Alligator mississippiensis: one gene and its partners. The protein of the gene in region 1 interacts with the protein of each later gene in a biochemical or structural test. Links are inferred from orthologs where the notes say so. Each region holds a gene or a part of one and is shown on either strand. Other genes may lie near its edges.

What was found.
Region 2: of the proteins of BTRC (region 1) and PSMD4, one has a biochemical effect on the other in vitro, tested with the Homo sapiens proteins (2 studies listed by BioGRID). The link is inferred for Alligator mississippiensis from reciprocal best matches to the Homo sapiens genes BTRC and PSMD4.
Region 3: of the proteins of BTRC (region 1) and DEPTOR, one has a biochemical effect on the other in vitro, tested with the Homo sapiens proteins (3 studies listed by BioGRID, with this or other methods). The link is inferred for Alligator mississippiensis from reciprocal best matches to the Homo sapiens genes BTRC and DEPTOR.

Annotation. Positions count from the first base shown.
Region 1 is NC_081829.1:99,940,987-99,948,988, reverse strand, and holds the start of BTRC (F-box/WD repeat-containing protein 1A), read right to left. Parts: upstream 3,017-8,002; 5' UTR 2,923-3,016; coding exon 2,875-2,922; intron 1-2,874. UniProt on the Homo sapiens protein: Substrate recognition component of a SCF (SKP1-CUL1-F-box protein) E3 ubiquitin-protein ligase complex which mediates the ubiquitination and subsequent proteasomal degradation of target proteins. Recognizes and binds to phosphorylated target proteins.
Region 2 is NC_081838.1:20,037,033-20,044,000, forward strand, and holds the start of PSMD4 (26S proteasome non-ATPase regulatory subunit 4), read right to left. Parts: upstream 3,013-6,968; 5' UTR 2,930-3,012; coding exon 2,904-2,929; intron 1-2,903. UniProt on the Homo sapiens protein: Component of the 26S proteasome, a multiprotein complex involved in the ATP-dependent degradation of ubiquitinated proteins.
Region 3 is NC_081826.1:22,931,976-22,939,764, forward strand, and holds the start of DEPTOR (DEP domain-containing mTOR-interacting protein), read right to left. Parts: upstream 3,013-7,789; 5' UTR 2,950-3,012; intron 2,840-2,949; 5' UTR 2,832-2,839; coding exon 2,746-2,831; intron 1-2,745. UniProt on the Homo sapiens protein: Negative regulator of the mTORC1 and mTORC2 complexes: inhibits the protein kinase activity of MTOR, thereby inactivating both complexes. DEPTOR inhibits mTORC1 and mTORC2 to induce autophagy.

The DNA of each region.
Region 1 (8,002 bases):
GACTGCTCCAAAATCATTGCCAGGGACCAGGCAAGCATTTTTTAAATGAAAAATAATCATACAGACAAGAACAAAAATATCACCACCTACAAGGCTGCTTCCAGCCCTTATTGTTTGTTGTGTGAATCCGGAGCCAAATTGTAAATATTGTACTGGGGCCCGGAGAAATAATGAGTCTGGTCTTTTCAAAGAGTGTTTCAATATTTAAATAAGGAAGGCACCTTGACACTTGTGAAAAGATGCTGTGCAAATCAATAATGAATAGATTGGACTGAAGTGAGCCATGCTTTGACCCACTTAGTAAGAATCAAGGTATGCCAAATTTGTCATCCACTTGGACTGACAGGAAAATGTACTGTGGATGAGTCAGCATGGACTGAAACGCATCTAATCCGTCTTTTCCAGATCTACGCCTGTACTTACGTGGCTCTCCTCACTATGGCATCTAAGCAACTCCAACTATTTAAATATCAAGACAACACCCAGTGGATTTCCCCCCCACAACCTGGTTCAGGTTAAGAAAACTTTCTCTCGTCCACCCCATCCTAACTGATGCAGAACCTCTCTAACCATGGAAGGGAGAAAAGCAAAAGACGCCGTGAAGCTCAGCTTTGCCTGTCTAATTACTGGGGAGACACTCAGATCCTATCAAGTTCAGTGCTGGGGAGAAAAAGCCAACAATGCATTAAAAAGAAAAGTACTGCTCCATCCTCTGCCAATTAGCAGAAGACAACATGTGAGCTGTCCACAGTTTTTTCTTGCTTGGGTGCTTGTCTACGTGGGCTGCAGGTATGCATGTGAAGAACTTACTGCGTGACAGCTGCACTCAGAAGAGACACGTTTGACATTTACTTCTCAGTACACGGGGTGTCTTGGCCACTCTTAACACTCAAAGCGAATCCAGCAACTTAATTCTGGTTTCTCTGCAGTCTGTGGGGCACAGATGGAGGGCAGGAGGCCCGATGGGCCTCAGGGAGCACAAGCCAATCTCAAGGAGGGCTCTGAATGTCTGGACGAAGAGCTCAGACTGGAATCTTTATTCCATGGGGACCAGCGCAGAGCACCCGTGTGATGCGTTTACAATACCAGGAAGCAGGACGCCTTATCAGCTGGGCCCTTTCCAGGGTGCGAGGCTTTGTTACACCTGAGATCTAACGAGTTGGACAGATCCAACCTAAGTCACGAATGAGTGGACCAACCTGGCCAGATCCACACGCAACGGGATCTCTTGCAAACTTCTGATCGATTATAGATGAAAGGAGGCAATTTTGACTCCCAAAGCTACTCAGGCACCGCATACGTTTCCCACCTCTACCACCTGAAAGCCTGTAAATCTAACAAAAATAAAGGGCGCTGAGAGAAGAGTCCAATGGTCTGAACAGGAGGAGAGAAGGCTTCAAGGGGCTATCAATTGTACAAGAAAATAAATGGAGGTCATTATACGCTGAGAATTTCTACCGCTTTTGAAGTGCAAATGAAAACCAAGATTTGTACCAAGTGTTTCGCTAGTTCCACCTGGGGCATAAATTCTGAGGGTTTAAACTGATTTTTTTTCCCCTTTTTTTTTTTTTGCTCCCGAGGAAGAGATTTAAATCTGTGCCACTGAAAGGACTAATCCAGAACAAACTTGGAGCAAACGCTGCCTGTCAACTGACTGACATCCTCGGAGGCAGAAGACTTGAGCCCACCTGAAATGAACGGTCAGTTAACGTGGCGTGGATGTTTGTGCAAATGTCTTGATGCGACTGTTTTCCAGCCCAAACCAACCACAAAAAACCCCCCAATCTGGAATTAAACCTGTGGTCAAGACGAATGAAACGAGAGTTGAAACCAGTGTCTCTAAACCACTAATCTACACAAACCAGACTCGGAGGCAGACGCCCCCAAAAACTAGTGTCTGGCTCAGGATCCAAGATAACGGGCAGGCTCGTTCTTTGAAAAGCAGCGAGGAAAAGGAAAATATGGTGGGCGGAAAGAGCGAGAGAGGCCGGCCCCCAGCCGGTGGTAGAAGGGGGTGGGGAGGAAAAGCGATGGAGACGGGCTGTGACGGGGGGGTCGCACCCACGGGACCCCCCCGCAGAGCAGGGGCAGGGGCAGGACCGGCCTCCCCCACAGGCCCTGGTGCCCGGGCAGGCTGGAGTGCCCGCGACACGTCTCTGCCCGGCGCGTGCCCCCTCCCCGGGCACCGTGTCCCTCTTCCGCAGGCTCGTGGCCCCCAAATCCTACCAATGGAGGGGATCCCCACCCCAGAGCCCCCCAGCCAGCTACCCCCCCACACCCCCCATCCAGCTCCTAGCCTCAGCAGCCCCCCCCCATTGCTTTGTACCCCCCCAGCCCATGCTGGGGGCACCCCCATAATGCCCCTCCCCCCACCCATGCATTACCATGAGGACCCCCCAGGCCCCTCCCCCACTGCCCTGAAGACCCTCCCAGACTCCTGCATCAGCCCTTGGGGGGGGAACCCCCAAATGCCCCTCCTCCACCCCCCACAGCCCTGTTGGGGGGGGGACACACACTGCCCACCCTTTTTTTGGGGGGACCCCTATATAATGCCCCTCCCCCACCCCATTGCCCACCCATACCCTTGCCTTAACCCCCCCCCCCTGCAGGGAGGCACCCCCATAATGCCCCTTCCCCACCCCCACTGCGCTGAGGACCCCGCACAACTGCCCCTGCCTCAGGCCTTGGTAGGGGGCACCCCATGACCCCCCAGACGCCCCTTCCAGGCCCTTGCCTCAGGCCTTGCGGGGGGTGGGGCACCCCATCACGCCCCTCCCCCACTCCCTGCCCCTAGGGCCCCCACCCCACTGCAGGCCCGGGGGGGGCACCCCCATCAGCCCCGCAGGGAGCTCTTAGCCCTTCCCCGCCCCTCACCATGAACTTGAGGGCCTTCTCCTGCAGCACGGCCTCCGCCGGGTCCATAGTCCCGCCGCGGGGCCGGGCCGGGCCGGGGCCGCCCCCTCCCTCAGCGCCAGGCCGGAGCCAGCGCAGGCAGAAACCTGCGCTTCTCTTCCGCCCCCCCCGCCCCGCGCGCATGCGCCGCGCGCAGGCCCCCGGGACATGGAGTCCCCGGCCGCGGCGGCGGCGAGGGCCCGGGGAGGGAAGGGGACTACAACCCCCAACAGCCCTCGCGGCCGCGGCCCGGCTCCCCGCCGCGGGGCTCATGCGCAGTCGGGAAACCCGCGGAGGCTCCCGGGAATTGTAGTTGGCAAGGGCTCTGAGGGGCCTGATGGACAGGCAAGGGCAGGGGGAGAGGGCTCAGCTCCTCATCCCGGGGCTCGCGTTTAATTCTGCCAAATGCTACATGAAGCCCATTTATATAAGAGATAGAGATACAGCTAGAGATACAGATATAGATATATATAAGGGATAGATATTGATATTGATATTGATATAGATATGGGACATATATCGATTATATATATAGAGAGAGAGAGAGAGAGAGAGAGAGAGAGAGAGAAATATGGGAGATAGATAGATATCTCCCATATCTATCTATCTATCTATCTATCTATCTATCTATCTATCTATCTATCTATCTATCTATGGGTATAGGATAGATAGATAGATAGATAGATAGATAGATAGATAGATATCTCTCTCTATATAACTATCTAGATATAACTCTATCACCCATAGATAGATAACCCTGAGTCAATAGATATATATGCACATATTAATTTGTATATATTAATATGTTTATATATATTCATTTTAAAAATATTTCTTAGGGCACAAAACCTGAAAAATCCGTGGCCTTGATAAAAATAAGCATTTTGCACCTAGCCAAACAGATCGAGTTTAACCTTTACAAGTGTCTTATGTCAAGCACAGCAAACATATTTACACAAAAGCCACGAGAACAAGTGCAGCTAAAAGAGCTGGCTGTAAAAAAAAAAAAATAAAAAAATTGAGGTATACTACAAATGTCGCCTTTTTGTGAGCTACGAAAAGCAGCCAGTTTATGTTTAAAGAGTTCATTGCAATTCTTTCCATTTAAAATAAAAATCCTATAAATTAGTAAGGAAACCATGAGGATTACTGAGGAAAGAATACACTTGACATATTCATAGACTCACAGACAGTGAGAGCTAGAAGGGACCTCGGGAGGTCACATCTAGTCCAACCCCTGCTCCAAGCAGGACCAGCCCCAACTACATCATCCCAGACAAGGCTTTGTCTAGCCGGGTCTTCAACACCTCCAAGGATGGAGACTTCACCACCGCTCTGGGTAACCTGTTCCAGTGCTTCACCACCCTCTTTCTGAGAAAGATTTTCCTAATATCCAACCTCAACTTCCCTTGCTGCAGCTTGAGCCCATTGCTCCTTGTCCTGTATCTGCCCCCACTGAGACCAGCCCAGCTCCATCCTCTGTGCAGCCCCCCTGCAGGGAGGTGAAGGCTGCTATTCAATCCCCCTTCAATCTTCCCTTCTCCAGACTAAATAATCCCAATTCCCTCAGCTTCTCCTCACAAGCCATGTGTCCCAGCCCCAGATCCATTTCCAACCCCCTAACCCCCATAAGCAGATCAGGAAGGAGGCATGGGAGACATGGCCAGAACTGCAGGCTGTGGGAAGCCCCCTTCCTGAATTCACATACTCAGTTTGCCTTAACCCTGAAGTGCCCCAGCACCCTTCATCAACAAAGAGAAATCGCTTGTTAATTATTTAAATAAGGACCGGACTTCACTGGGAAATCAGGTCTTGTTTGCACAGAACATGGGGAGGGGGTGTTAGCAGACCCTTGTGAGTATGTGTTACTCAGGGGCCAGAACCTGACTGGGCTAGACTCTGTACACACCATGAGAACCCCTGCCCCCAAACTCTGATGGTGTAATACCACCTCAAATGTGCCTGCAGTTGGGGACCAGTGGTGCTAAATACCCAGTAAAATGGATGAAGCTACAGATATGGGACTTATACATGCCACAATTTTTGCCCTTTCATGTGCAGCAACTGCATGTCTGTTTGCACGCGCGGGATTTCCCAACGCTTTAAAAGTCTTTCTTGTGCATTAAAGTAAAACTCCTCAATGTAGTTTAGTTTGGCTTGCTGGGAATGAAAGCATTGCGTCCATGGATTCGTTGCAAACTAAAAGTCACATTGAAACCCTGGCTGTTGCTCCATGTCAGCACAACTCTTCCTCTGCTTCTATCTCTCTGCTTCCCCTCTGCCCTAGGTCCCCTTGCACATCTCTGTGCTCTCACCCCTGGATCATTTCATTCTCCTTCCTGCCTTCCCTTCAGCTCCGAAAGGCCAGTCACACCTTGCGTGCCAGCCAGCCCGTCCCTTCCCTCCCCCGGTCTTGCAGGCTGGATGGTGATGCTTAAAGCAGGTTGTCATGCCTGACGTGTCACCGCGCTGGGTATTTCCCAGGCTGTTGACAAGACTGCCTACACTTTCGGCATTACCTAAATAACAGTAATTAGGATGAGGGAGTAGTGTAATTAGAATGGAGCCACTCTCCACTGCTGCAAGAGGCTGGGAGTCCCTAGAGTTTGGGCTCTGACGGCTCTAAGTCTCAGCCCTCCAGGCGTGCGGCAGCTGGCAGGGAGGTAAGTGGAACCTTTCTGTAGCAGCGGGAAAGGTTCAGTGGTTTTGCTTTTGTGCTTTATTTGTCAATAACATTTGAGGCCGGCTTAATTGTAGGGAAATTGAAAAGTGTACTGCTGCGGGAGCCCGCACTGCTACCCCAAAGCCCTTAAGGCTGCTTTATCTATCGGTGACTTCTCTGAGCTGAACTTCTTCTGATTATAACAAGCACAGACCAGTGAAAGGAATTACAAAGCTTAAATTGTGCCTGACCTCACATGCTGCCAGGGGGTAGCTCTTTTATTCGGCCTGAAAGGGAGACCGGGGTTATTAAAGTGGCTGTTACGTGTATCCCTACAGGGGCTGGGCACCCTAGGAAGGGACCAGGATTGCATTCTGCTTGGCACTGAGCAAACCCACAAGAGGACATGCCCTGCCCCAAGGACCTTACAGTCCAAGGCAAGAGACAACAGGTGAATACAGCTAAGGGAGAGCACAAGGAAAAGGCGAGGCCAAGTGCTCAGGTACAGGTGTAACATGTGGGAGGCTCTGTGACGGCTTGCGGATTTTATTGGGATCTTTCTGCGTTATGGTGTTATGAATGATGTTGCGTGCCTCATTTTCCCCACCAAGCTCGTACATGGGGAAGGAATGGGCTAAAGAGACAAGGAAGCAGGAGATGACAGATGGACCTCTGCCAGCCACAGCCCTCAGTAGCTTTGTTGACAGATCAGCAAAGGTGAGATGGCCAGGGGGCTGGAGGGAAGGTGGACGAGACCAGCATAGGAAGGGGTGGAGAATGGGAACAAGGTGTCAGCTCCTGGCCTGAGAGGCTGGATCGGAGACCAGGAGAGGATCTTCGGGGGCTCTGGGCCTGGAAAGAGAATAGTGGAGCGATCTTCATGGTTAGCTGGGCTGTGCAGACTGGACGGGGGACAGAGGAATGGCGTAAGCCTTCGAAGAGGGGGCAGACACCCTCTGGCTGCGTGACTTCGGCCCTAATTGAAGCAGGTGTGCATTTTTGTGGGAGAGAGCTGGGATAAAATGAACAAGCTTTTGAAAGCAAGAGCTGCCTGTTTGCTGCTTGGGACTTGGGGCAGCCCTTGTTCTCCGCAGCAAGAGAGGGTAAAGCGCCTCTCCCGGGGCACAACTGGATGCAGCTCCAAGGAAAACCAGGAAAGACGAGAGACCAAAAGGCCAGGGTTTCAGAAGGAGCCCGGGCTCCTCCACTTGCTCTAGGAGACACAGCAGGGCTGGCTTTGAGGTGCACTTGCAAAGACTGCAGTTACCCCTTGGAGGGGACTCTGTGACAGGCTCCATCACGTGGATATCCCTGGATCGCTGTGGACATGCGGCACTTCATCGGTACAACTTACACCGGGGTATCATGACGGCTGACTTTTCCCTGGGCAGCTCTACACCTGATTCGAGACCCTTACCCCAGGTTAGCAGCTTGTCTTGTACCCATGAGCCCCTTTATCTTGCCCAAAGGCAGGTAAATGTGTTGTGCATCCAAACTCCACCCCGACTGGGCGAGAGGCAGTGATCTCAGTGCACGAAATGGAGATCCAGAACTATGGAGGGTCGGGGGGTGAGAAGGAACCGATCCCTTTTTGCCCTGCCTGCTCACACCGCAAAGAGGCTGGACATGAGTGCAGGGCAAATTTGAAACAAATGTAGGTACAAGTGATGTGGCTGAGAGTCACCGAGAGCCTGGCTGCCCGTGATTGCTAGAATCATCCTCGAAATCCTGTAGCCGCAGGGCTGGAGAGGACCTGCGGAGGTCAGATCGAGTCCAACCCCTGCTTGAGGCAGGATCAGCCCTGTGCAAACCAGCCCAGAAAAACCCATCATCTAAACTCTACATAAAACTATTGCCAGCCCTGACACAGCACCAGGCATCACACCTGAACCTGCCACGTGGAAAGCAAGGGGACTGTGGCCACCAGCATCCTGCTCCTATAAAAGGTTGTTAATAGATGCCCCAGGCCGAGGCCGTGTCCCCACTGCAGGGGAAGGCAAAACCCCCCAGTCTGGACCAGTCTGAGCAGGGGGGAAATCCCTTCCTGCCCCAGTGCAGCATGGGGCTGAGCTGAGCGTGGGGGCAAGACCCTCCACCAGGACCCTGCAGGGTTGGCGCAGCAGGAGCATTGGCCCAGCACTAGCCCATCCCCATCCCCAACCCTCAGTGCTTCTGGGGAGGCTTAAAAACCTCCTCTCACATGGAGCAGAAAGGGGATAGGAGTCAACCAGCACAGCCCAGTAAGCCTGCAAAGCTCCCATCATAGAATACAGGCATTGCTATGCCTCGATCATCCCCCACCAGTGCCTGTCCAGCCTCTTGATCCCACGGCTGTCTAGCAGTACGATTGCTCTGGCCAGATTTCCACTCCCAGCTCTTCTAAGCAGACACGATACCTTGCCCCTCCTGTCCAGAGCACGGCAAGACACGCGACGCGCCGTGCCAGGA
Region 2 (6,968 bases), on another chromosome or scaffold:
CTGCTCTGTGATTCTGCGACCCCAAACGCAGCTACCTCTCAAGTCAGATGTCTGGCTGTGCCTCATGCTGCTGAGGGCAAAAAGTCTCCGCTACAAAATCATAACAGAGCAATACAAAGCATGTGGCAAGATGTTCAAGCCAGGGGAGGAGGGCCAGAGACCTTTGCAGATGTGCACTCTCCCAGCACCCCCATAAGAAAGTTTATAACCCTGGGATGACTAGCCAGTGACACAACAGGGACCAAAACCCAGGACTCATGACACCCAGCTCTTGTCTAACCTACTCTGCACCCTGCCCAGTTCCTGACACCGGTTCCAAGCCAAAAGCAAGCATGGGTATAACCAAGAGCGCTGGTTCAGACAGCAGGAGACTGTGACCGCGCTGCCCTGATGCAGCAGATATGCACTGCACCAGGCAGCGATAATTACAATCCACTGTGAGAAACCTTAGATGCTAACTTCAGACTCAACAGCAACCGCACAAGGCAACAAATGACCTGTGCACCCCACAGTGCTGCTGGGTTGTTTGTGTCCACAGCACAGAGTGGGTGGAAGCAGCCCTTTCAGTTACACCAGCTCTAAAGAGTGACCTAAGAGAGTGGAGGGAAAGAAATGTTTAGAGAAAGGACCTCAGAGTTTATTTCAGCCCCAAATGACAGCTCTGGAAAGTGGCAGTTGCAATGTATTTTTAGAGTTAATGCCAGGGAACGTGTCCTTTAAACAACCGCCCCTCTGCTGTGATTGTCCCCATGTGCCTAGGCTTCGGGCTGGGCAAGGACCAGAAGGAAACACTAGCCAGGGGCATCCCAGCTAACACCACCACCTAGAGCTTCTCATCTGCAGAGCTCAGCGAGCTTTATAGCAGAGATCAGTTTCATTGCACGTCAGGGCTGTGCAACTCACGGCCCATGGGCCGCATCCTGCTCCTAGGGGTTAAGCTGCAGCCCCAGGAGGTCCCAGGCTGAGCACATTTCTTGCCCACTGCTTTCCTGCTACTGCTGGAGTCTCTGGGCTCCCCCACTCTCCTCCTGCTTCCCTTGCCTACCCCTATCCCTCAGGACGGGCACAGCAGCCCACTGGGATGAGGGAACCTGTGGCTGGGAGTCCCAGGGACAGCACTGCAGCTTGGTGGGGGTGAATAGGAGCACGTAGTGTGGTGCAGTGCAACACAGGAGGTACCTGCAATGAGAGGGAGTCCATAGTAGTGTGTGGCCGGGGTGGGGGGTGGCGGCTCAGGTGGCCCGTGCCACAGATCGAGAAACAGAAGCAGAGACACGACATGGAAAAGGTCAGAGCTGGGAACAGAACCCAGGTGTCCCAAGGACTCACGCCACTGCTCTGGGCAGCACATGGCGCTGTCAGGACCTTTCCAGACAGACACAAACAACAGGGAATGTGTCTAGAGTCGGTGGGTATCGATAACCCAAGTGTTACCTGCAGCAAGTAGGAAGGAACTTTTTTTAATATGCCACTTAAACCTGATGCTAGCCCTTTCCTGGGTCTGAACTGGTTATTCACTGAATTAAGCAACTGTGCCCCCTCTCTCCGACTGAATGGAGAGCCCCCGAGTAGTACAAACAACAGCAACTTCATGTTTTGTGAGCCTGCTCCACTGTTGACGCAGTCACTAGAACTGCAGCCATGAAGAGGTTGGAGGGCTAGTAGCTACTATGGTCCTCGCTATCGTATTTTCTGGTATGTAAGGCATGTCCCCAACTCCCCTGAAAAGGAGTATTTAAAGGGGTATCTTGTATACCAAAGCTGTGGAAGAAAAAATACCATGTGAGTGAAAGTAGACGATTGTAAGGCGAAGATGAGCCTCAAGATGTTAGTGAAAGTGTGTGGGCCTAGGTAGGGAAAAGCAAGGAGAAGGGGCATGTCTGACAGCAGCCCCGGTGCGTGCCCAGGGCCCAGCATTACTGTCGGGGAAGCAGGAGGGAGACGAGGGCTGTAGGGGCCATCATCATCCTTCCCTACAAACACCACAGGGCAGCACTCAGGGGACAGCCAGCCCTGAGCCCCCGCTGCCTCCTCTGGTGCGGCCCAAGGCGCGATGCCAGCACCAACGCACCCTCACCCCCTTGGCTTCCCAAACCCCATCATCAGGTCTGACTCTGCCTGAAAGGGAGATTACAAACCCCAGGTTCAGTCTTGGTGAGGGTGTTTGGCGACACAGGGGCACAAGACACCGCTGCCGTACTCGCAGCCGACACCAGGCACCAGGCCAGTCCCAACAGATCCCAGGTGCCTTGGATGTTAACCCACTTCCGCGCACCAGTCGCAGGAGGCGTGGGAAGAAGGGGCGCGGCATGGCGCCTCCTATCCCGTGACCCAGCCCCACCCGCTGCTTGTGCGGCAGGTCACGGGGGGCCGGGGGGCAGCCCGGCCGCGCAGGGCAGGGGAGGGAGGCAGGCAGGGACCGGGCTCGGAGCAGCCGGGGGCAAGTAAGCAGAGAAGAGCCCGGCTCAGTGCCCAGCGACCCCGCTCCTACCCCCGGCCACCTCCCTGCTGCTCCCAGGCCTGCGCGAGAGAGCAGTACGGCCCTGCCCGCAGGCTGCAGCCCCCCGGGGGTCCCAGCCCGGGCCCTGCTGCCCCCCTTCACCTACCCCCCCCCGGGCCCCTGCCACGTCACCCCTCCCCCATAACTGACCCCACACATCACCGACCCCTCTCACGTCACCGCTTCTTCCGTCACTGACCCCCACGTTACCCCCATCACTGCCCCTGCCCCTCCCCCAGCCCGGCCCGGCCCGGCCCGGCCCGCCATGACTCAGGGAAACCAGCCCCGCGTCCCCAACCCGGCCCAGCCCTCCCCAGGAGCGCAGTGCGGCCCCTAGCCCCGGCCCCAGGCTTGCTCTGCCCAGCCCTACCCGGCCCGGCCCCCGGCCCTGCCCGGCGCTCACCAGACCATCGTGCTCTCTAGCACCATCTTGCCTCCTTCCTCAGCCGAGCCGGGCCGGGGCCCAGGCTGCACTGCGCGCGCGCAGTGGCTCGGGGCCGCCAGCCAATCCGCTCCGCCCTTCTTGCGGGGTGGGGCCGCGGGGGCCGCTGAGAGGTGTAGTTCGCGCACCGCCTCCAGACAGGGGGCGGGGCCAGAGGGGCGGGGCCAGGCGGGAACCCAGGGGCCTCCATGGCTGGGGGTTTGCAGGCAGGGACCCAGGGGCCGGTTGGTGCTTCCCAAACTCCTCCTCAGGGTAACCACGGTTATGGCCCCATTTCCTCCAGACGGGCCCCACTGATGTCACCATCCCCATTTGGGGTCACGACCTGCAGTTTGGGAACGGTTGCTGTGGGGACATCCCTGGCCTCTGGGGTGTGCTGTCCCCCTTCCCCTTTCTGCTCCACGTGGCAGGGGGTTTCAGGCCTCCCTCAGAGGCTCAGGTGCTGGCTGCAGAAAAGCTCCCCGCCCAGCCACCTGCCCTGCCAGCGCTGCTGGGGCTGGTCTCCGTGGAAACCCTGGCCCCCTGCTGTCATGATGCCACTGTTCTTGGGGTCTCTATGGGAACTGGCCACAGCCACATAGGCTGGGGCTGCTGGGAAATGCAGGCCGGCTGCTGGCCAGATCCACCATTTTGCCCACCCCTGGTTTAGATGGGTTTGTCTCAGATGGCTTGGACAGGGCTGATCCAGCCTCGGGCAGGGGTTGGACTAGACGTGACCTCTGAAGCTCCCTTCCAGCCCCACACTGCTCTAGGATCCTATGGTGATGATGATAGCCTGTGGCCTCAGCTCCATTATCTATGGGGCAGGGCTCCAGGGGTTCCCGGCAGCCGATGTCTCCCACACTAGACAGGCCAGCACAGGTCCCCTCCCTTTGAGGTTGTGGAGAAACGACGCCGTGGGCGTTTGGGGGCATCGCTCTGCTACCAAGGAAGAGTCAGGTTGGATGAGGTCACGGGCAGATCTAGGATGTTGGAAAGGGGGCTGCAGACAGTGAGATGACTTAGCCCATAGAACGTGACACATCTCTTTCTTCAGTTAAATTAAAAGCTTTTATTTTAATATTCCAGGGGCCTGGGGCTAAAACCAGACACAGGACTCCAGATGTGGCTGCACCGGCACTGAATGAAGTGGAACAATCACTTCCCTCCATCTGCTGGTAATGCTCCTACTCATGCAGCCCAGTATGCTGTTAACCTTCTTTGCATCAAGGGTGAGGTCCAATGACAAGGGTTTTTGGACTACTAGACTATGCCCCTGAATGCCCCGGTGAAACCTCTGCTTGGCAGGATAGGGAACAAGACTCGCTTGCAAGGCAACTAGTGCAAGGAAGTGTGTGCTGTCTGCTGAATAAATCTACATGAGTGGAGTGGAAACCTCTCTCAAGTGTTCTTTCAACAACCCACTGGCTCCCCAACCCTAGATGTTGGACCAACACAGCACCCAGGGGTGCTGTGAGATCCTTAAGGGTGTCATGAAATATTAGTAGCATCATGCAAACACCTACACCTGATGCATAGGATAAACCCAGAGACTGCAAATAGGACTCCCGAGTGAAAGAAGCATCCAGCTCAGCTGGGGTTTGCAGAGTTTTTTGCAACAGAAGAATTGCCCTAGTATTTTTTCATAGTCAAGCAAGAGAGTGAAAACAAAGAGCTGGGATTTTCTGATGGGGGCTCTGAGTCAGAGGGGAGTCTTGAGTCTAAGGCTGAAAACCACTGCATCACAGGGGTCTGGGACAGAAGAGTCATAGATTCATGGATGCCAGTGAGTAGCTCCATGCAGCCACCACCGGGGCTGCTATCACCTGCCTCGGCTTCCAGCCCTGCCTTCTCTAGGCCCACTGTGCCAGCCAAAACTGGTGGCAGCACCACATCCTGATTGACTACAAGATGAACATAAGCCATCAACGTGATGCTGCAGCTAGTAAAGGGAGCAGGACACTGGCTTGCATCCATAAATGTTTCTTAAGCAAATCCCAGGACATCATTCTCCCCTTGTACTTGGCTTTGGTGAGGCCGCAGCTGGAGTACTGCATCCAGTTTTGGGCTCCACAATTCAAAAAGGATGTGGAGAAGGTTGAGAGGGTGCAGAGGAGAGATGCACATGATCAAAGGTTGGGAAAACAGCTTATGATGAAAGGCTGAAAGCCATGGGACTTTTCGGCCTGGAAAAGTGCAGGCTCAGGGATGATCTGGTGGCCACCTACACATTTATCAGGGGTGCTCACCAGGATCTGGGGGACCGTCTGTTCACCAGAGCGCCCCAAGGGATGACAAGATCGAACGGTCTCGAACTCCTACATGACCGTTTCAGGCTGGACATAATGAAGAACTTTACTATCTGAGCCCCCAAGGTTTGGAATAGCCTGCCGTCGAAGGTGGTTCAAGTACCTACTTTGAATGCCTTCAAGAGACATTTGGATGTTAATTTTGCTGGGATCCTGTGATCCCTGCTGACTTCCTGCCCCTGGGGCAGGGGCTGGACTCAATGATCTTCCAAGATCCCTTCCAGCCCTAATGTCTATGAATCTATAAACCAGTTTGACCTAAATCAGGTAAGTCTGATACTACATTCAACCAGGTTTATATCAAACTCGTTTCAGTTATTTTGAAACTGGTTTATGTATAACTTCTGTCCTTAGCCAGCGGCAGTCTTTGTTTCAGTAGGAGGCTGGGAAGAAAATGTGTCCTGACTGTAGCCAGCCGCCAGGGGTCACTGTGCCATCAGCTCTGGGTGGGTTTTGCCGGAGAAGCACTTGGAAGGGCAGGGGGACAGTAAACTCCAAGATTCATGGCTATCCCACATAGTACCTGGGGGTCCCTCCTGATGACATCTCTACCAGCCTGCACAACCAGGTGGTGGAAATCTGCTGGGAGATTAAGGAGCTTCATTACTCGGCTGCCTTCAAGGATTTGGAGATGGGAGACAGTGCAGTCCACTGGACAGGACACAGGAAACAGGATGAGGAGCCCTGGGCTCTCACCCCAACTCTGCCATTGGCAGCTGGGTGAGCGTGTGTGTGCGCACCAATTCCCTTTTCATGAACCTATTTAGGTTCTTGAGGCAGGGATGATGTGTGTGCATGCGTACAGCACCTGGCACAAAGAAGCCCTGAGCTCAGGTAAGGCCTCCATCTGCTGTCACAGGTAGGTAGCCATGTTAGTCTGAAGCCAGGGTAGATTTGCACCTTATAAACCAATGTATGCATCTCAGATGTAAATGGAGATGTTCATAAACTCACGGAAACTACAGGGCTGGAAGGGACTTCAAGAAAATCCATCAGCTTTCTGATCAGATCTGGGAGTCATTGTGGACAGCTCACTAAACACATCAGCTCAGTGCTCAGCAAGCATCAAAAAGGCAAATGACACTTGAGGGATGATTAAGGGAATTGTAAACCAAACTGAAAGTATCATGATACCCCTTTATAAACCCATGGGGCATCCACACCTTGAGTCTTGTGTCCAGTTCTGGTCCCCCACACCCCCAAAAAGGATATAGGAGAACTAGAGAAAGTCCAAAGAAGGACAGCAAGGATGATGAGTGCTATGGAGGGGCTTCCATATGAGGAGAGAGTGCAGAGGCCAGGCTAAGTCAGTTCAGAAAAGAGATGCTTGAGAGGAGACAGGAGAAGGTTTTACAAAATACTAAACAGTGAAGAAAGAGTCAATAGGGATTAGTTATTGACCATCCCTCTTCATACAAGAACAAGGGGTCACAACATGAAGCTAGTAGGTCGCAAGTTTAAAGCAGACACATGGAAGTTGTTTGTCACACAACGGGGAATTAAAGCACGGGGCTTGTTGCCACCAGATGTGGGGGAAGTTGAGAGTCTAGCCAGATTCACAAAGGGATTGGACACGTGCTTGGAGGAAAGGGGCATCAGTAGCTACTTAGCATTAGAGTGAGGAGCAAAACTTCCTAGACCCCAAGGGCTGGAGGCTGCAAATGACAGAGTAACAGGAGAAATTCCTGGTCATACCCAGTTCAGTCTCCCTTCTAGCATCTAGTCTCTGCCTCTGCAT
Region 3 (7,789 bases), on another chromosome or scaffold:
GCCACAAGCTTCAGGGGGCAGCTCCCCCAGAATCGTTCCCACTGCATGGCTACATTGGCAGCTGGTGGCTACCCATCCCCTGCAAGCAGCACGTGGCCCCCCTGCTCCTCCCCGCACAGGTTTCACTGGCAGCATGAGGCCCCCCCGTTGCCTGGGCTGCACTGGTGGCATGTAGACCCCTGCTGTGTGCACTGTGCAGGCAGCGCACAGGACCTAGGCCCTCCCTTGATGCAGGGCAGCATGAGAGGCTGCTGCTGGGGCCTGCAGGCCACAACTTAAATGCTTGTAGGCTGCATATAGCCCATGGGCTACATGTTGGCACCACATAGGCCGCATGAGTCCCACAGGATGCCAGTCTGACAGATCTGATCTGGAAAATGTAGTAAGATATGAGTGTTAACATCAGAGAGGGCAAAATAAAAAGGAAACCTAGGTTAGGCTTTTGTCATTAGATTTAAAAGGGTGGATTTATAGATCTTGATTGACTTCTTAGGACAGAGACAGTCATGATTTTTTGTTTCTGTCAAAATACCATGTACACCAATGGTGCCATTGTCAAATAAGCAGCATACTGCTACCCCAAGTAGCAACATTTACAACCTTCATCTTTTACTGGAACAGTGACAAGCCAATTTTTAAAAAACATTTATGATTAAACTGCAGGCAAGGACCTAGTGGGATTTTAAGGGGTGCCAGGGCACCCAGTTCCCATCACCTAACTTCAACTTCAGGTGCCTCAACACTTAAAAATAGGTCCCTAAACCAACTCCCAAGAAAAAAAATATGCGTACCAGTTTAGGATAGGAAACCTAAAACTGCATGTCAAATCTTCATCTACACTACATTGAGGTCCCTGCTGTGTATTACATATATTACACAATTAACTGGTTAATCGTTCAATAAATTTAGACTAGCCACACATCAAAGTAATACTGGCCACATGTGCAAAGTAATTATCACTCAATTACCTGGTTCATTGCACAAGAAATTTAGACCAGCCACACGTACAAAGCAATTTTATCACGATACAAATCATGTGATAAAATCCAGCTATAAAAAGATAAAAGCTGTAAAATCCAGCTATAAAAAGAGGCAACCAGCTACAAAGTTAGTGCTTGGAAATGTGTAACAGCTCTATAAAAGGTTTCTATCCAGCTTTAAATTGAATGTGTAGCAGGGCCCTGACTTACACCAGTCGAGAATTTCATTGAACATCAGGGAGCTGCTACTAAGCTATGAAAATGTTTTCTGAACCAGCACCATAAAACATTTGAAGACTGAAAAAGAGCCCTAATCTTTCCATTTTTTGAGTATTTTTTAACTGCCCGGGACATATAATAACTTAAAATATAAGCAAATCTTAATCATGATTTTGTGTTACTCTTTAAATAGCCAATTTCCACTGCAATGAAAGCAAGAGACTAGGGGTCTCACATTAGTGGCTCCCAGATCAAGGAACTCTTTCAAGATGAGAAACGGAAGCCAGCAATAACCCAGCATTTAAAAATAATTAGCCGATATTTGCTGAAAACAATTTAAGAAACTGCTGGCAAAATAGTCCTCCCACCCCATTCTGCTTATACCCATACCATGCATTCTCTTTTTCTTCATTGCAACAAGTTATGTAAGCAGTTGGAAAATGAAAGCTTAAAATTTTTCTTCTTTATTGCTGTTCATAATGCATGGGCACAGCATGCTTTCAATACAGCACCAGAAATTAAAAATTAACTGTCTGACTCATGCAATTTTTTTAACAGTTTCTCTGCCATGTACAATCTGAGTCACAGCACTGTGAATTATTTTGGCGGGGATGGGGAAGTTGGGATCAGCTGATTCAAGATAAAAATCTTCTATCATAAAAAAGACCTTTACAGACTCTGTGGTTCCATATTATTCCAAGCGATGGAAGAAAACCTAGATCTTCATGTAGATTTCTTAGACCGTATTGCTCCTATTCTAGCTAAAGCAGTATTTTTAAATATTGCTCTTTTTTTTTTGTTTTGCCTTTTCAAATTCTCTCCATTTCTCCAAAGTCCTGAGACCACCACATCGTCTCAACCCACCTTTGTTTCCGCAGCAGCACTCCCTCCTTTCCTTTCCTCTCCTCTCCTCTCCCTTTCCCACCCTTTGTGTTCAAATGACTGCTCTCTATCTCCCTGCAAGCCCATTCATCGCATCTCACCATGATGGGGTTGGCTGCAGCGCCTGGAAGATGTGCTGGTGCCTCTCTGAAGCGGTGAGTGTCTCAGGTGCCCCCCTGCCTGCCTTGTGCCTCCCTCCACAGACCAGCTACCATACAATGGCCAAAGGACAAGCACCTCAGTAACAGAGCAGAGCAAGCTGCCTCCGGACTGCAGCAGCCCGGGTGGATACCGCAGTCCAGCAGCATCATTTAGCCAACTCCTTCAAGACTTTTTTTTTTTTTTTAATTTCTCCCTGTCGCCCCTTCCTCAAACTGCAAAGCAAAGAGCTGGCAGACCGGGACAAGCCTTCCCCATGGGCACGGCACAGGGAAACCCCTCCTTGCTCTCCAGCCCAGGACAGGGGGCAGAGCAGAGAGGGCTCCGTGACAGCCGCCCGCCCGCCCTCCGGCCGGCCGGCAGGGTCCCCGCTGCCCCCAGCCCGGCACGAGCCCGCGGCCGGGATGCGCCCGGGCGGCCCGGACCTCCCCCGCCTGCCGCCGCCCCGCAGCGCGGGGCTCCCCCGTCCCTCCCCTCCCCTCCCCTCCCTCCCTCCGTCTCCTACCGCAGCTGCTCCCCGGTCAGCAGCACCTCGGCCATGTGCTCCAGCTCGGCCGCCTTCTGCTGCAGGCTGCCCACCGCCGCCTCCATGGCCGGGCCTGGGGCGAAGTGACAGGAGACACGGAGCTCAGCAGCGGCGCAGCCCCCGCCCCGCCCAGCCCAGCCCGGGGTGGGGGCAGCCCGCGCTCCCGGGGCCGCCGCCCCTCACCTGCAGGTCCTCGCGCGCCCCTTCCCCGCACGCTTCTCGCCCGCCCCGCGCCTGGGAGCAACACCCGCTCGGGGCTTCTCGTTTAAGTTATGCTGCGTCCCGGGCACGTAAAAACCGACTCACAAAAAAGAAAGATTATTGCTCTGTGTTACGGGGCTGTCTGGGAAGCCGCTCCTGGCCCTCCCGGTCCATGGGGCAGCTCCCCCACCCCACCCCCTGTGGCTGTCCCTTGGGAGGGGACTTCCCCAGTGAAAAGGGACAGGAAAATACTCCGTACATAGTTCATGGGAACGCTCTTTAGTAGCCTGATGACCTCCAGCTCCATTCCCGCCCGCCCCGGGGGAGCGAACATGGCAGGCCACCGCCTGGGCTCCTTCCCTTTTCACAGTCATAGGCTTGGAGGCCGCAGCGAGCGAGCGAGGCTGGCTGGCTGTATCCAGCACCAGCAAGCCCCGCCATCTGTAAGTGTATTTTATTCCAGCCAGGACACGTTCCAAGGGAATGTTCCTTAGTCCAAGTGACGGGGCCTGTCTACATTGGAGACAGCTTTGGGTGATGGATGTCTGTTTGAAAAAATAACCGAGGACACCCCGTTCCTGTCCAGTATTCACTGTCCAGGATGATGTATGTGTCTTTTTTTGTGTACTACCCAATCTCCAATGTGTCACTGGTCAGCAATGGTAGTTTTTCAAGGGAGAATCTGTGGGACAGTGCTGGACATGTCATGTTAGAGCGCAGACCTCGAAATAAATACAATAAAAACACAAATACACTACAGATATCAGATTCACCCAAAGAACCTTGTCTACAGATGTGTAGAATTCCCGTTACCCTCTAATGGTACATATTGCAAGAGATGAATGTGAGTGGAATTAAGAAAATAGCCCTCACCCATGGACAAGTAACTCAGAACATCTAGTAGAGAATTGGGACATGGAGAGAAGATCTTAGCTGCCCTCCTTCGGGAGGTGACTCAGGGACTGGTAGGCAGTGCTTGGCTTTGTCCCTCCATCATCAACCCTAGGGGCTTGGCTTGGCTTGGCTTGACATGAGTGGACACACAAAATCACAGCCTTGGGGAATATTTAGAATAACTAAGATGAGTTTCAGGGCACTTATGGAACAGATGGAGGTCTGCAGACTGTTTGTATCAGAAATGCGATCTGAATGGTATATTACAAGGTTCTTTGGGTAAATGTGATATCTTTTATTAGACCAACTTATATAGTTGGAAAAAAAAATTTAGCAAGCTTTTGGGTTTAAAAACCCTTCGTCAAGGTGAGGAAGTCTCTGCAGTTGGTGTGTGCTCTTCCTGGATGGAATGAATAGTAAAGAAGCCAGAGGCTGGGCTGGTCCGCATGCAGTCAGTGAAGATTTAAATTGAGGAGTCTGTGGGTGAGAGACAGGCTGGGTTGGGGGGAGAAGGGGGATGAATGTAGCAGTTAAATAGTGGGAGGTAGCTGGGGAGTCAGATGTCAGGCAGGTTATAGTGTGTCATAAGTCCAATGTCTATATTTAGTCCAATGTTTTTTGCATCCAGGAGGTTGATGAAGTGAAGCTCATAGACTCGTCTCTGAGAAGTGTTTTGTAAGTTCCCTTTGAGGATTAGAACCGAGAGGTTGGAGAGAGTGGTTTTCTTGTGAGAAATGTACCCCCACCGGTAATTGGGTATTCTCTGGGTGAATCAGATTCACCCAAAGAACCTTGTCTGCCTATGTCCTTAGACCAACACGGCTACAACCTACACATCTGAAAAGTATAGCTCTCTTGTCTGGTCATGGACTAACTAGTAAGAAACCTAGTATTCTACTGTTCCATTAAAACATGGTGTTGGGCTTTGTTTTTTAAACATGCTTGCCTGTGATTTCTTACAAAGTGATGGTTACAACTATTCATGTGAGTGTTTGTCATTCCAGCTTTGGAGTTGGCCATTGTTTTAAATAGTTTCCTGATTAGATGGCCAGAGCTCCATAAATAGGCAAATGACAGAACAAATTATTAGGGCAGCTCATGGAAGGGATGGCAGTGTACTTTGAGGATAAGAGGTAGCAGCAGATAAACTGGGCTAGGAAATGTTAAAACATTTTTCTTTACTCTTTTACATTGGAAGCATCACAAGCAACTCATACTTTGAAACATCTGGTTCCTTCTTTCTTAAGGGAAACAAACATGCATCAGATCTGTTGGCACGTTAGCTGGCTGTGCATTGTCTGTCCTGTAGCACTAACATAAAACATATTCTTGTGTATATGCACAGACTTATTTGCAAAGAGTGCAGTCATTTACATATGTCTCAACAGCAGGCCTCTAGCTAGGGAGGGCTGAGAAATTACCACATATTGTAAAGTTTTCCCTCCTTTTTTCAAGCTATTTCCCATACACGGCAAATGCACAGCTTATATGCTTTGCTGTTCATTTGTTCCTTTATAACTTTATTAAAACAACATAATTTATCTCTGACAGTGTGATTTAAAATACATCAGGTTTCTAGCCAAGCTGCTTTAGAGGTGTGATAAGCCTCAGGAAATATTAGAAAATTTTCAGACAGAGAAAAATAGCATATATTAAGTTTCTGATTCTTAGAAACTTGTCTGTGGCAGACAACTGGAATTTGTGCTGATTATGCAAAGTTAGATATGAAATTCATCTATTCTACTTCTTACGTTCTTACGCATCATTAGCCTGGTAAGCATTATAGAAACTTAATACTACCTATTCTAGACTTATACTTATGTATTTCTAATTAAGCATGTGGCTTAGTAATTAGTAACAAATCATGCAAAATCATAATTATGGAGATTTTTAAGTAATTGTGAGTATTATCATTTTTTAACATTTCAAAAACCACAATAGAATACACCAGTCCATGGCTTGCTTACTCTCTTGATTACTAGCACTTCCAAAATGCATCCACCAGTTGTCTTCCTTGTCCATTTATCAGTGTTGATTCCAATCTTTCCAACTTGCATAACTAGTTTAAATTACTTGTCCTTGCCACCTCCAAACCAGCATCTCGCATTTCATTTTTTTCCCATTCGCTTTTTTAATTTACGTCTTCACACTCACCCCATGCATATAATGATCTCCCACATCCAGAGGATCAAGAACAGCAACAGAGTTGCTGTCAACAAACAGCTTACCAAATATCTTAGAGTATTTGAGGATTTTGAATGGTAGTTCAAATATGTGTAATTCTGTTTATTTCACTACAAGTTACAATGTTCAACCTGGATAGGCACCATCAGCTTGAAGAACAGCTGCAACCATCTTAGTAGGATGCCAGTCAAGCAGCTGTTGTCATGATACAGAGAATCACAGCTCTGTCTCAAAAAAACATTCTTTAAAGAAAGCTACAAGCTACAGATATAAGCTAGATTTTCAGTTTTGTCACCCTTCTTTACCATGGACCACATCCCATCTTGAATTCACCTTAATGCACAGACTTCTAGTGGCTCAATACTACAAGAAAACACATTGTTACAGTTGCCAGCAATATATGGTCTTTTGCACAAAGTAAATTTTTTCATGTATTTGGGCCAGCATTACAAAGAGAATTCAATAACTCTTAGAACTGCTAGGAACAAAAGTTCTAGTAGAATAATATTCACCAGTGGCTTTTGTTTGTGATTCAAGTTCATGTGCGAGTCATACAGGTTGGATGACTGGACTGTAAGGTGAATAGAAAACTGGCTGGATCATCAAGCTCAAAGGGTAGTAATCAATGGCTCAATATGTTGTTGGCAGCTGTTATCAAGTAGAGCGCTCCAGAGTTCAGTCTTAGAGCCGGTTTTGTTCAATATTTTCATCAACGACCTGGAAGATGGGATGGATTATACACTCAGCAAGTTTGCAGATGATACCAAGCTGAGGGGAGTAGTAGCTACACTGAAGGGAAGGACTAGGATTCAGAGAGGCCTTGACAAATTGGAGGATTGGACCAAAAGAAATCTCATGAGGCTCAGTAAGGACAAGTGCAAAGTCCTGCACTTAGGAGGGAACAATCCCATGTGCCAGTACAGGCTGGGGACCAACTGGCTGGGCAGCAGCTCTGCGGAAAAGGACCTGGGGTTACAGTGCACAGTAAGCTGAATATGAGCCAGCAGTGTGCCCTTGTTGCAAAGAAGGCTAATGGCATACTGGGCTGCATTGGTAGGAGCATTGCCAGCAGATTGAGGGCAATGATTCATTCCCTCTGGCACTTGTGAGGCCACATGTGGAGTACTGTCCAGTTTTGTGCCCTCCCCCCCCACTACAGAAAGGATGTGGACAAATTGGAGACAATCCAAGGGAGAGCAACAAAAATGGTGAGGGGGCTGGAGGACATGACTTCTGAGGAGAGGCTGGGGGAACTGGGCTTATTTAGTTTGGAAAAGAGAAGACTGATGGGGGCTTTAATAGCAGGTTTCAACTACCTGAAGGGGAGTTCGAAAGAGGGTGGAGCTGGACTGTTCTCAGTGGTGGCAGATGACAGAACAAGGAACAATGGTCTCAAGTTGCAGCAAGGGAAGTTTAGGATAGATATTAGGACAATCTTTCTCATTAAGAGAGAAGTAAAGCACTGAAACAGGTTACCTAGAGAGGTTGTGAACTCTCCATCCTTGGAGGTTATTAAGACCTGGCTAGAAGAAGCCTTTGCTGGGATGATCTAGTTGGGGCTGGTCCTGCTTTGAGCGGTGGGTTGGACTAGATGATCTCTTGAGGTCCCTTCCAATCCTAATTTTCTATGATTTTATGATTCCATGTCCATAGATTATTATAAAGTGCTCTCAACAACATAGAAACAAATTATTATTGATATGTTTTGGTGATTCCAGCCCACCTAAAGATAGAAAATACTTTT